Linked DNA regions of Nothobranchius furzeri. The protein of the gene in region 3 binds, or shares a complex with, the protein of the main gene of each other region. Links are inferred from orthologs where the notes say so. Each region holds a gene or a part of one and is shown on either strand. Other genes may lie near its edges.

Region 1 (4,048 bases), on a different chromosome or scaffold from region 3:
ACCAGTAAAGAAGGCACCTCCCGTGTATTCTTGCTTAGCTAGCTAAACAGCTAACAAACGAAGAACAGACACCTCGGTAGCACATGATGATTGGAACACGCCTTGGCGGTACCTGATTACGTATCTCCTAGGCAACCGGGGCAGGACCAAGACATCAAGAAACACCGAAGAGTTTGAGATAAAACTGGGTGTTAATTGGCAAGTATCTAGCAATATAATATGTTGCTATACAGGAGAGACGATACGATATATTGAGATACTAAAAGGCTGACTATTTTTGCAATTTTTAAGTGAATTTAACTGGGAAAACTCAGACAATTCCAGTGTTTTCGCAAGATATCGGTCTGTCAGACTGAAGGAGGAAGAAACTGCTGCCACCTAGCTGTCAGTGTTTGATCTGCACCACACAAAAGAAATACAAGAAATGTTGGCATGTAAATTCTCAATAATAGATACTCTGCTTTTAAATATCGATTCTGTATCATAAACCGAAATGTTGTGATATTTCAGTGCATTGAATTATTTTTACATCCCTAGAGTGTTATATGAATACATCTCACCAAAATCCAGAAACTGCTTCATTGAAAGAGGGGAAGGAGAAAATCTGGAGTAATAATCGATATCCTTCCCTACTGACACGCTGTTCCTCAGAAACCTCAGAAGCCTCATGTTGACCGGGTTTACTAGTTATTCGGAGGAAGCAGGTGGCTTCCGAGCCACACTTAGTGTTATTTAACGACACTAGCTCGTTGAGCAAACCCAGCAGCTCGCAAACACGCTGTTAAATTTATTATTGTTCAGTTACGTTGCTAATTGATGCAGGTTCAGCATCCATAACTACGGCCGCGCTGCAATGTTTGTGTATCGTCCGGTGTGTACTTCAAGTGATCGCTGCTAAATCCACCGAAGCAGAAAAGTCAACAAGCTAATTCAAAGAGTTACTACAAAGTTCAAGAGGATTCATCGTTGTTGCCTGGCGTATACCGACACGAAGTTCTGTTGAAAGGCTGTATTTAAAATTATTGTCAATATTGACGGTAAATTGCGAAAATAAAGACGTATAAATGCACGATAATGTCCTAAATAATGTCTTTTATTCACGTGTGTATGAAAGAAGAAGAGTTGATAGTGCTCGTTATTCTGTAACTATCTTGCCTTTGCATACTCTTTGTAAAGGCCAAACTATATATTTTTCCGAATGTTTGTCTATCAGGCAGTCAAATGAGCCTATCATGTACCTCAAATCTAATCATAACTCTGATTGGATAAAACAGTTGCCAAATAAATTAATAGGCGGAATTATGTCCCTGCAGACAAAATTCAGGGCATACGAGAATGCCGCGTCTCGGGTGTCGTCACTTCCTTTAGGTGGCCAGATAATTGCCTGTTAAAGGAAATGTCGGTTCACAGGCCCACGTTTTTAGCAATGTGTTATTGATTTTGGCTCTATATTCCTCGGAAGGTAACGTTGATTAGCGTGTGATTTCATTCATTTCCTGCGTATCTGTGCAAAGTTACTTAAATAGACGCAGTGGGGATTTTAGGAACTTCAGTCGGAGGAGTTGGTCATAGCGACCCGCCAAAAGCCACAAGATTCGGCAAGGAAGTGGCCGTTTTAAACGACACGTAACGGCTGTGTTTAACTTCTTGTGAGGATAATGAGTGGCGGATTCAACTTCGGACAGAATGCAGGGTTCGCCTTTGGAGCGCAGAAGACCACTGCCGCTGCCCCCAACGCGGGTTTTACATTAACCAGCTCAGCAGCTCCGGGAGGGGGGTTCGCCTTTGGAAATGCCAACCAGACCAACCCCACCGCCTCTTTCAGCTTTGGCACCCCAGCCAAGAGTTCCGCAGGCGGCACGGGGTTGTCTTTTAGCACGCCTACTGCCTCGTTTGCTCTTGCTACCCCTCAGACAACACCGGCAGCAACAGGGTTGAGTCTGGGCTCTGCAGCAACTCCGGCTGCCGGGTCAGGGTTCACCTTAGGCAGCCTGCTAACCTCGCAGCCCCCAGCTGCTGCACCAGCAGTAGCAACAGTGGCACCAAGCGGGGGAGGATTCACCTTCGGTGCTCCCACACAAGTCCAGCCTCAGTCAGTGGTAGCACCCACAGCCACGACAGCAGCAAGTGGCATGTCCATTGGAGGGTTCAGTTTTGGTGCTCCCAAAGTCCAGGTGACCTCAGCTGCAGCCCCCACTGCTGCCACAGGAGCGGGATTCAGCTTTGGAACCCCTGCAACCACCGCCTCTGCAGCTCCAACCACCCAGGGTGGAGGTTTTAACTTTGGGATTAAACCTTCATCAACCCCAGCCCCTACAGCAACCACCCAGGTGGCTCCGACTCCAGGCCCTACTCTGTTTGCGACACCCATAACCACCACCGCCGCCACTACAGCAGCAGCTCCAGGATTCATGTTTGGTGCAGCTCCAATTTCGGCTCCACTTTCATCGGTGAGCACTGCAACCACCACAGCAGCTGGAGGGGGCTTATCCTTCCCACTCAAACCTCTGAGTTCAGCAACCACCACCTCTGCTCCGGCCTCCATCCTAACTGCAGCCGCCACCACAGGCACAGCTACGGGCTTCATACTGGGACTCAAAACTACATCCACCACAAGCACAACCACAACAGCCACAACAATCGGCACCACCACCACCACTGCTCCTCCTGTGATGACCTATGCCCAGCTGGAGAGCCTCATAAACAAGTGGAGTCTTGAGCTGGAGGACCAAGAAAGACATTTCTTACAGCAAGCGACTCAGGTGAATGCCTGGGACCGCATGCTGGTGGAGAACGGAGAGAAGATCACATCCCTGCACAAGGAGCTGGAGAAGGTGAAGCTGGACCAGAGGAGGCTGAACCAGGAGCTGGACTTCATCCTGTCCCAGCAGAAGGAGCTGGAGGACCTGCTGTGTCCGCTGGAGGAGTCCGTGAAGGAGCAGAGCGGAACCATCTACATGCAGAATGCCGATGAGGAGCGTGAGAGAACATACAAGCTCGCTGAGAACGTAGACGCACAGCTGAAGAGGATGTCTCAGGACCTGAAGGAGATAATTGAGCACCTGAACACATCCAGCGGCCCAGCTGACTCCAGTGACCCAGTAAGATCAGATCTAAGTCATCCTTAAACCTGTCATTATGATGTTTGCCTTTTTCATTCATCTCTTTCTCTCTGTTTTAGCTCCAGCAGATTTGTAAAATTCTCAACGCCCACATGGATTCGCTGCAGTGGATCGACCAGAACTCGGTTCTCCTGCAGAGAAGAGTGGAAGAAGTGTCTAAACTCTGCGACACCCAACGCAAGGAGCAGGAGAAGAGCTTTCGTTTAACCTTTGACTGATCTGTTGATGAGTTTAACTCTGCATAAACATTATGCTCTTTTGTTTGGATTTACTCATTTCACTTTCTGTTTTGGTTTTATTAAGATAAATATTTTCTCAATAGTTCTTTATAAAGTTAATTGATCATATTAAATGTTCTGGGTAGTGTGATTAAATAAAACAATTGCAGTGGATCTCATTCAGCCTGATGTGGTGTGTCATGACTCTAATTCTCACATCTAATCTGAAACATGAAAGATCTACCAGACTTTTTGAGTTGAAATAATCTAAATTACTTAATCATTTTAGAGCTTTAACTGTAATTTGTCTCAGTAATGATCTACAAGCTGCTTAATTCTACCTGAGCCCTAGATTAGATGTAAAAACACAAGGAGGCGGGTGCAAGAAATGATAAATGACCCGCACTTGTATAGCACCTCTCAGAGTAAGGACTCCAAAGCACTTTACACTACAGTGTATCATTCATCCATTCACACACTGATGGTGATGAGCTACGATGTAGCCACAGCTGCCCTGGGGCGCACTGACAAGCAGAAGCATTGGTTTTCTTAACAGCTCCAGATAAGGTAGTAGAACATGTTGGCCAACCTCACAGGTATGTTGCAAAACACTTTGAGATTTTCATTCTAATACAATGTTAAAAAATACAATTCACCATTTCTACAGTAAAAAATTCCCAGGAAATTAAACAGCCATGTCACAAATAT
Region 2 (4,374 bases), on a different chromosome or scaffold from region 3:
AGTAAAGCAGAAGTCAAAACATTTTAGATTGGCATTCAGATGTGAATTTTATATATTTATCTTCATTTAAATTGTAATTATTCTGTAAGACATTTTTCCAGGATGCTGTCTCATTTTCAGAATCTTGAATTTTTATCATTTTTGTTGTATATTTATATATTTATAGCGTATTTTTCTTATAAACTACATACCTGGAGAGAAAAAACATGGATATAGATCATCAGTAATTATTTAGAAATTGTAAATCCAGCTTTAGGAGTAACTAATGTCAAATTCAGGTAGATGGTTTAACAGAATGTATTTATTGAGTATTAGAACTATTTAAAAAGATTATTATGAAAAAGTTATTTTTCTAAGTCCAGTTTTTGGATCACAACAAAATTAGATGATTTTACAATATTACACTTTATGAATCAGCTCTTTGACAACTATGATGTAAAAAAGGAATATCAAAAAGTAACACGTGTTAAACAGTGGTTCACAAGAACTTGAGCTTTAATAAAAAGGATGATTTAGAACAATGCGTGCCAGAAAAGATCACAACGTTGTCGCAAGATGTCAGATAAAAAAGAGCTTTCCATTCTCTGGTGGTGTTTATGTTTTTAAAATAGCATCAATATGTGAAGGCATCAATAACTTACTATATACTAGTATAAATACAAGCTCATTCATTAATTTCTATACCTTTTATTGTTTTTAAAGGAGGACATGTTGAGTTTATATGGACATTTAAAAGAAAAACTTCTGTGGCACGTTCTTTCACTCTTGTTTCAAATAATGTCAGATTTTTCATTTCTAAATAATTTTGTGCCACTTGAATTATTTCACTGACAGAAACGTATGCAGCTCATGGAACAAGAACAAAATAAGTTTGTGTGAAGATTTTTGTTTTATCACAAAACGTCACACAGTTGTGCAGCTATGTCCATGTGCCCATAAACTGTGTTACATAATGAAGTAGCTCTGGGGCTTGTGCCCCAGATGACCAGATCATTGCACAGTTGAGTCTGGAAGCAGGAGTTCAGCACCCATCTGCTCTTTGTGATTCACGCTTCAGTGTTTTTGTTTAGAGCCGACAAAAAAACAAACAGAAAATATCATTCCATTGGCTGCATTGTATTAGGTCATTTAAAATATATATGTTTATTAAAAGTATCAATTAAGACAAGTGGCAGGGATAAATGAAAAATGAAAAGATTTGTTTCATTTATTTCACGTGTACGGTGTTAGGGTTGTGATGTGTCCCAAGTATTTTACTCTCGATGCTTCTAATCATTTTTAATATAAGTTCTATTTAAAGCAATGCAGGGATACAAATATACGTACAAAGAACAAATATGTACACTGTTAAATATGTTATGTTAGTCGGAAAACAAAAAATGACACACATGAAAATAATAGGTATCTTTTGCTTTTGACTAGGATTCCCCAAGTACCCTGAAGGAGGCATGTGACGACAGACGCATGCGCACCGTTATACAGTCTGAATTGACCAATCACCGACGACTTCAGAAATACCGGGGTATACTTTCTGCGGACTACGCTTGCCTGTGAACGAAACTATCTAAAAAGCACATTTATTCACTTACATGAGGCGAACAGGCTGAACTGTAATTTCATCCAACTTTAAAACAGGTATAATAATCGTCTCCATTCAACTGTAGAGAAATTTAACATCAATTTAAATGAAGTCGAAACATGTGCGAGCGTTAGCATCTTAGCCAGCTCGCTAACCGTTTAGCGTCGCCGGTTGATTGTAACTAGGCTATGTTGTAGCATGCTACCACGGTTTTGGAATGTCTGGTACGAGTTTTCACATTTCTTAAGCAGTTTCAATGTCTGAACTTATCTATCGAACGGTATTCTGTTGACGTCCGTAAAGATTGATCTCTCAACTCGTCAAGCACATCATGCGCGCGCTGCAACTGTTCAGCTGTAATCTTTCTCATGTTTACCTTTCAAGCCTTTTCCCCCATGACGCATTTTTACGTTGGTAGATAAATAGTACAGTTTGTTATAACTCCAGGCAGCATAAAGAATTATAGGTTAGACCATCCAATTTTTAAAAGTAGTGTTTTATATCTTCAGTTATGCTGTATCTCAATGTAAACACAGGGTAAACTTGTTTTTATTTAATTAATCAAAAAGCTGCAAGGCAAGGAGGAGCTTTTATCCATGCATCATAAAAGTTATAACGTGACTGTAGAAGTGCACACTTGTCTAAAGTGAACATTGACTTCTTTGGGCTCTGAGCTGACGCATCTAAGATGAATCATAAACTGTAAAACATAGAGTATGTTTTTGGGTTCAGTTGTTTTTTAACTAAGGAGTTTGAAATGATTGTGATTGTAGTTGTTTACTATTTGATTACGGAGCATCATGTTCCCTTCAAGACAGTTGCACTCTGTCATTACTGACAGAGATACTGGCAAGCTATCCTGTCATGTAATCTGTTGTCTTTAATTACCTCTAACACAAAGTCTGTACAGTGTCAAACATTGTAAAATCACAACGTATTTTTGTTTATATTCCACATACTATTTTAAAGTTAAGCAAATTATGAAAATATTATATATTTTTTAGTGGAATATTTTATTGCACAAACCCAGACCCGCAAAACACTTACCATAGAGAACTGTTCAGTGTTTTCATTTCAAGTAAATCACATTTATAAACTTCTCTACCTGTTAAGAGTCATGGATGCAGAAGGGTTTGGAGAGCTTTTGCAGCAGGCAGAACAATTGGCTGCAGAAACAGAAGCTGTGTCTGAACTGCCACATGTGGAAAGGAACCTTCAGGAGATCCAGCAGGCTGGGGAAAGGCTTCGATCCCGCACCTTAACTCGCACCTCTCAAGATGCTGCAGATGTGAAAGCGTAAGCAACCTTTTTGGTTATTAAACCCTTTTCTTCCCCAGGTTATTAATCTCAGGCATGATGTTCAATTGATAGATTACTTTGCCTGCCAGCCTAGCCTGCCATCTAGTGGTGTCAATGTAAAATTACTTCTCTGCCAGTTGAAACCTCTCCAATCTTTTGTTCTTGTAACAGGTCCATCCTCCTTGGTACCAGAGGTTTAGACGTCTTCCACATTTCACAGAGACTGGAAACTCTAAGTGCTGCCACCACCTTTGAGCCCCTGGAACCAGTCAAGGACACTGACATACAGGTATGAATGAAACGAGAAGCCTTGGGTCCTGACACCTGCTAGCAAGTCTCTAATGCTTCAGATGCCTTACTAGTGCAAGCCTCATGTAAGATGAATAAGATAAACTTTTAATGCTCTAATGGTTGCGTGTGCCAAGCCTTTTTAAACATCCCCAACAGGACTTAAGGCTGCCAAATGTTTTCTAACTGATTGCTTATATTATTCCCTTGACATCAGTGGAATATGATTCTGTGCTGTGACACAGTGAGGCTTTCAGGAAGGTTGATGTTATAGGGCTCATAACAAACACTGTAAAACTAGATAATTGTGATTAATTCAGTCTCTTATCAGAGATAAGTGAAAAGAAAAACACTTAAAATTCTGAGCTCAGTGTTGGAAATAATCCCCTTGGATTTTAGCTTGGCAAGCCATCATCTATCTATCTATCTATCTATCTATCTATCTATCTATCCATCTATTCATCTATCTATCTATCTATCTATCTATCTATCTATCTATCTATCTATCTATCTATCTATCTATCTATCTATCTATCTATCTATCTATCTATATCTATCTATCTATCTATCTATCTATCTATCTATCTATCTATCTATCTATCTATCTATCTATCTATCTATCTATCTATCTATCTATCTATCTATCTATCTATTATCTATCTATCTATCTATCTATCTATCTATCTATCTATCTATCTATCTATCTATCTATCTATCTCTATCTATCTATCTATCTATCTATCTATCTATCTATCTATCTATCTATCTATCTATCTATCTATCTATCTATCTATTATCTATCTATCTATCTATCTATCTATCTATCTATCTATCTATCTATCTATCTATCATCTATCATCTATCATCTATCATCTATCTATCTATCTATCTATCTATCTATCTATCTATCTATCTATCTATCTATCTATCTATCTATCTATCTATCTATCTATCTATCTATTATCCATCATCTATTATCTATCTATTATCCATCATCTATTATCTATCTATTATCCATCATCTATTATCTATCTATTATCTATCTATCTATCTATCTATCTATCTATCTATCTATCTATCTATCTGTCTATCTGTCTATCTGTCTGTCTGTCTGTCTGTCTGTCTGTCTGTCTGTCTGTCTGTCTGTCTGTCTGTCTGTCTGTCTGTCAGGGCTGGGGGTAAACGATTATTCTGACGATTATTTTATC
Region 3 (3,653 bases):
TAACGTATCTTTCAATGTTGGCTGGCTCCGTGTTTTTGTTAGAGATGCCGCTGCGAACTGAGACTTGAGCAGACCGACGATTCGCTGTGGCGACACCTGAAGGGATAAAAGCCGAATGAGAACGTAGTTTGTTTTGAAGCTCGTCTTTTCCCGCATGTGGAATGTCCAGTATGCACACATTACATCGCCTTCGCTGTCCAGTTTAAAATACCACCAAAATATTTAGCTTTCCTGTGGAGACGCATTAGCTCTGTGTTAGCTTACTAGCTACTAGCATGTTATGGCGTCTGATCCTCCGTCTGCCGTAAATGGTGACGTAATGGTTTTGTTTTCTTCCAAAAAAACAGACTACTGATGTAGAGGAACTTGTTGAGATTAATAATAATAATAATAATAATGCATTGAACTTATATAGCGCTTTTCTAGACCCCCAAAGACGCTTTCACACACTCTCACATTCACACACTGCTAGTGATGGTAAGCTACTTGTAGCCACAGCCGCCCTGGGGAGGTCTGACAGAGGCGAGGCTGCCATTTGGCGCCGTCGGCCCCTCTGACCACCACTAACACAGGCAAGTTGGGTGAAGTGTCTTGCCCAAGGACACAACAGCAGGATACCCCTGGCGGGAGCTGGAATCGATCCCATGACCCTCCAATCATGAGGCAACCCGCTCTACCACCTGAGCTACTGCTGCCCCAATTAAAACTAAGCCATTGTTATTCCGTTTGTAAATCTCGTCTTATTTGTTGTTTTATGAAGTTAAATCTGATCTTTTTCACCCGATTCTGATCCTTTAAAATTTATGTGATTGGATCGGAGCATCCTTATTACAAACTCGGGGAAATCTGGAAAATGCTCTTTTTTCTCTATTTCTAGATCTGACGATGGCCATGCAGAAGTTGTACCAAACATTTGTTGCACAGGCTGCCCAGCTTCAGTCTGTCCATGAGAACGTTAAGGTCCGTATTTAATAAAGATTGTTGTAGTTTTGTCATTTGTATAAGAAGCTCAAGATTTCTACATTTTACGAAACAGTTTCATCGTTATGTCTTTCTCCTGTCCTCTATGTTCCCCTCTGATCTGTTGTCTGATAGATTTTGAAGCACCAGTACCTTTCCTACCGAAGAGCCTTCCTGGAAGACTCCACGGACATCTTTGAATCCAAACGGGCGTCTAACAGGAAATGGCAGAGTTCGCCGCGAGTCACAACCGGGCCCGCCCCCTTCTCCAGCGTACCCAACGCTGCAGCTGTTGCTATGGCAGCCACGTTGACCCAGCAACAGCAGCCAACTCCAGGTCTGACTGCCTTCAAGTTCTAGAAAGTTCTCCTCTTCCTCACCCTATTTATGATTGGGAAGAGACGTATTAAATCTGACATTTTGGTGGTAAAACGTTGAAAAGGGGCCAGAGAGGAGGATTCAGAACAGTTGGTCAAAACGTTTTTGACGCAAAGTTGTGTATACCTTCCGTTTGAATGTTGTCAAAATGGGTTTGGGGCTTTTGCGGTGATTTAGACGTAGTTATCAAACATACTCCCAGAGTGATCAGTCTAAATATTGTGCCAATCTGTAGGTTTTTGTACAACTGGGCGAGGAGTTGGTGTTAAACAGCGTTCGATTCATCAGAATGTAACTTTCTTCTGTCGAGGCCAAAATACGTGAGATTCAAAAGTAGAACAAAGCCGCTGTTGTTTCAAAGCACATGGGTTGTTCAAGGTTTAGAGAACTTTTGCTTGAAGTCGTCGTTGTAAATACTTGGAACAACTTGAGCTGGGAAAATATCTCCGATGCCTCGTTAAAGTGTTACCGTTGTTAAAATTGTTGGAACAGGCAAATAATTTTAAAGAATGTTTTAAAATAAAAGCTCGGAGGTGTTTAAAATTGTAGATTTTATTTTATTTCATTTTTTTTTAAGTTTTGGTTAATTATCAGGGCACATGAACGAACAAAGCTACGATGTACATGAGCACGATGCCGTTAAAGGTAGAGCTTAGTCCAAATGTTTAAAGCGATATTTAAACAGGACCGTAAAGACGGGGAAGTCTGCTGCTTAATCTGCTTGTTAAGGGAATTTCATTATTTTTTTTAATGAAAATTGCTTTCATACATCGAATTTCTCTTGCTTGTAAAGCAGGAAATGTGGAAACTTTCTTTTTACTTCATCACAAACAAGTCTCGTAAAAACCGAAGTTGAGATCACTTCATGTGTTAAAAGTGCCTACTTTAAATTTGTTGATGCATTCCTTTTTTTTTTAAGCCAAATCAACGTCTTCATATTTTCTTGTACAGTCGTGAGCTTGTGCCCGTTCTCCAGTAGGTTGTTTTTACAAGTTAACCCTAGAAATAGTTAAAGGATGGGATTAAATATCATAAAATTGCATTTCTCTCATTAAGTGTTATCTTTACTGCTACATTTTAACTCTTAAAACAAAGCTAAATCACACCTTACATTATTTATTTAGCTATTTATTGTAAAATATATATTTTATATATATTTATATAGCTGAATCACTCTTGAGCAATGCAGGCGACTGGTCTGAGATCCATCGAGAGGCGTCTAGAAGCTGTAATCGCCAGCAAAGGCTTTTCTACAAAGTACTACATGAAGGGTATTCAATACTTATTCCCTGTGCCATTTCGCTTTATTTTTTGACTCAACAGTTGTAAACGTAAATGTTCCAATTCCTTTGCATCAAATCAATATTTGGCTTGATGCAACATCTGGTGCAAGTTGTCAGTAGCCCACTTAGAAATACCCTTACTGATAAAAATGCTGATACTTATTCTCCTCATCAATAGTTGGGAGTATCCTTGTTGGACATGTTGCATGTCTTCAGACAAAATGAAAAAGGCTCAGATCTGAGATTATAAACCTGAACTGAAAGGCCTGATCACTTGTTGCTAGCCTCAGTAAAGCGGAGTGATCAGTGTGTTTGTAGAAAGTTGTGAACAAATAGCTGAAGTTATGTTTTCAGTTACCTGTAGCTCCTTTTTAAACCCTAATGCTTCAGTCCTTGTACCAGACCACATGAAAGGCATTAGTTCTGTTTTACTCTGTGAATCCTACAGGCTTGAAAACGGTTCGTAAACTTGAGGAAGGAACCGGTGTTTATGTATTAGACCACTTGGCAAAAAGAAATAAAATTCTAAATCTGTTTTTTTGGCGGTTTATCACCTGCAGCTTTTCACTGACACTCAAATCGGATGCTTTTATCTTTGTATCTATAAAAAGCACCAAAGATATATTTTTGGATCCAATGGGGTAATATTTCTACCCATTATTAGTTAAAGCATACATACAGGAAAATGTTTATTTATATAGCATTTTTCACAGACAAAAACACACAATAAACAACAGAATTACAGTAAAACATTAAATGAAACAACTGCATTACAATAAACTCGGATACCAATAAAAGTGGTAGGTGACTCTTGGCGATCTGGGATTATGGAAAAACAAACTATAAATGATAGACTAGTGGTGGGGAGGGAAAATGGAAAAGACAGCCAAAACTAAAGCTGAGGAGACTGAAGGTGTGTAAGCAGTTTGGGGAGGGCGGAGGTGGCAAAACGGACCGTAGATCAGAGATCTCCAAGTCAGGTCCTCGGCGTCCCCTGTCCAGCATGTTTCTGTGGTTTCTCTGCTCCAACAC

What was found.
Region 1: nup58 (region 3) and nup62l share a complex: the UniProt entries of both Homo sapiens proteins name them as parts of the p62 complex. The link is inferred for Nothobranchius furzeri from reciprocal best matches to the Homo sapiens genes NUP58 and NUP62.
Region 2: nup58 (region 3) and nup93 share a complex: the UniProt entries of both Homo sapiens proteins name them as parts of the p62 complex. The link is inferred for Nothobranchius furzeri from reciprocal best matches to the Homo sapiens genes NUP58 and NUP93.

The regions. Positions count from the first base shown.
Region 1 is NC_091754.1:20,876,621-20,880,668, reverse strand, and holds nup62l (nucleoporin 62 like), read left to right. Parts: upstream 1-1,467; 5' UTR 1,468-1,658; coding exon 1,659-3,101; intron 3,102-3,181; coding exon 3,182-3,340; 3' UTR 3,341-3,519; downstream 3,520-4,048. Other genes in the region: pdk1 (pyruvate dehydrogenase (acetyl-transferring) kinase isozyme 1, mitochondrial), read right to left, coding at 561-669. UniProt on the Homo sapiens protein: Essential component of the nuclear pore complex. The N-terminal is probably involved in nucleocytoplasmic transport.
Region 2 is NC_091744.1:86,664,985-86,669,358, forward strand, and holds the start of nup93 (nuclear pore complex protein Nup93), read left to right. Parts: upstream 1-1,480; 5' UTR 1,481-1,635; intron 1,636-2,692; 5' UTR 2,693-2,696; coding exon 2,697-2,875; intron 2,876-3,049; coding exon 3,050-3,167; intron 3,168-4,374. UniProt on the Homo sapiens protein: Plays a role in the nuclear pore complex (NPC) assembly and/or maintenance. May anchor nucleoporins, but not NUP153 and TPR, to the NPC. During renal development, regulates podocyte migration and proliferation through SMAD4 signaling.
Region 3 is NC_091747.1:56,994,424-56,998,076, forward strand, and holds part of nup58 (nucleoporin p58/p45), read left to right. Parts: intron 1-877; coding exon 878-960; intron 961-1,095; coding exon 1,096-1,297; intron 1,298-3,653. UniProt on the Homo sapiens protein: Component of the nuclear pore complex, a complex required for the trafficking across the nuclear membrane.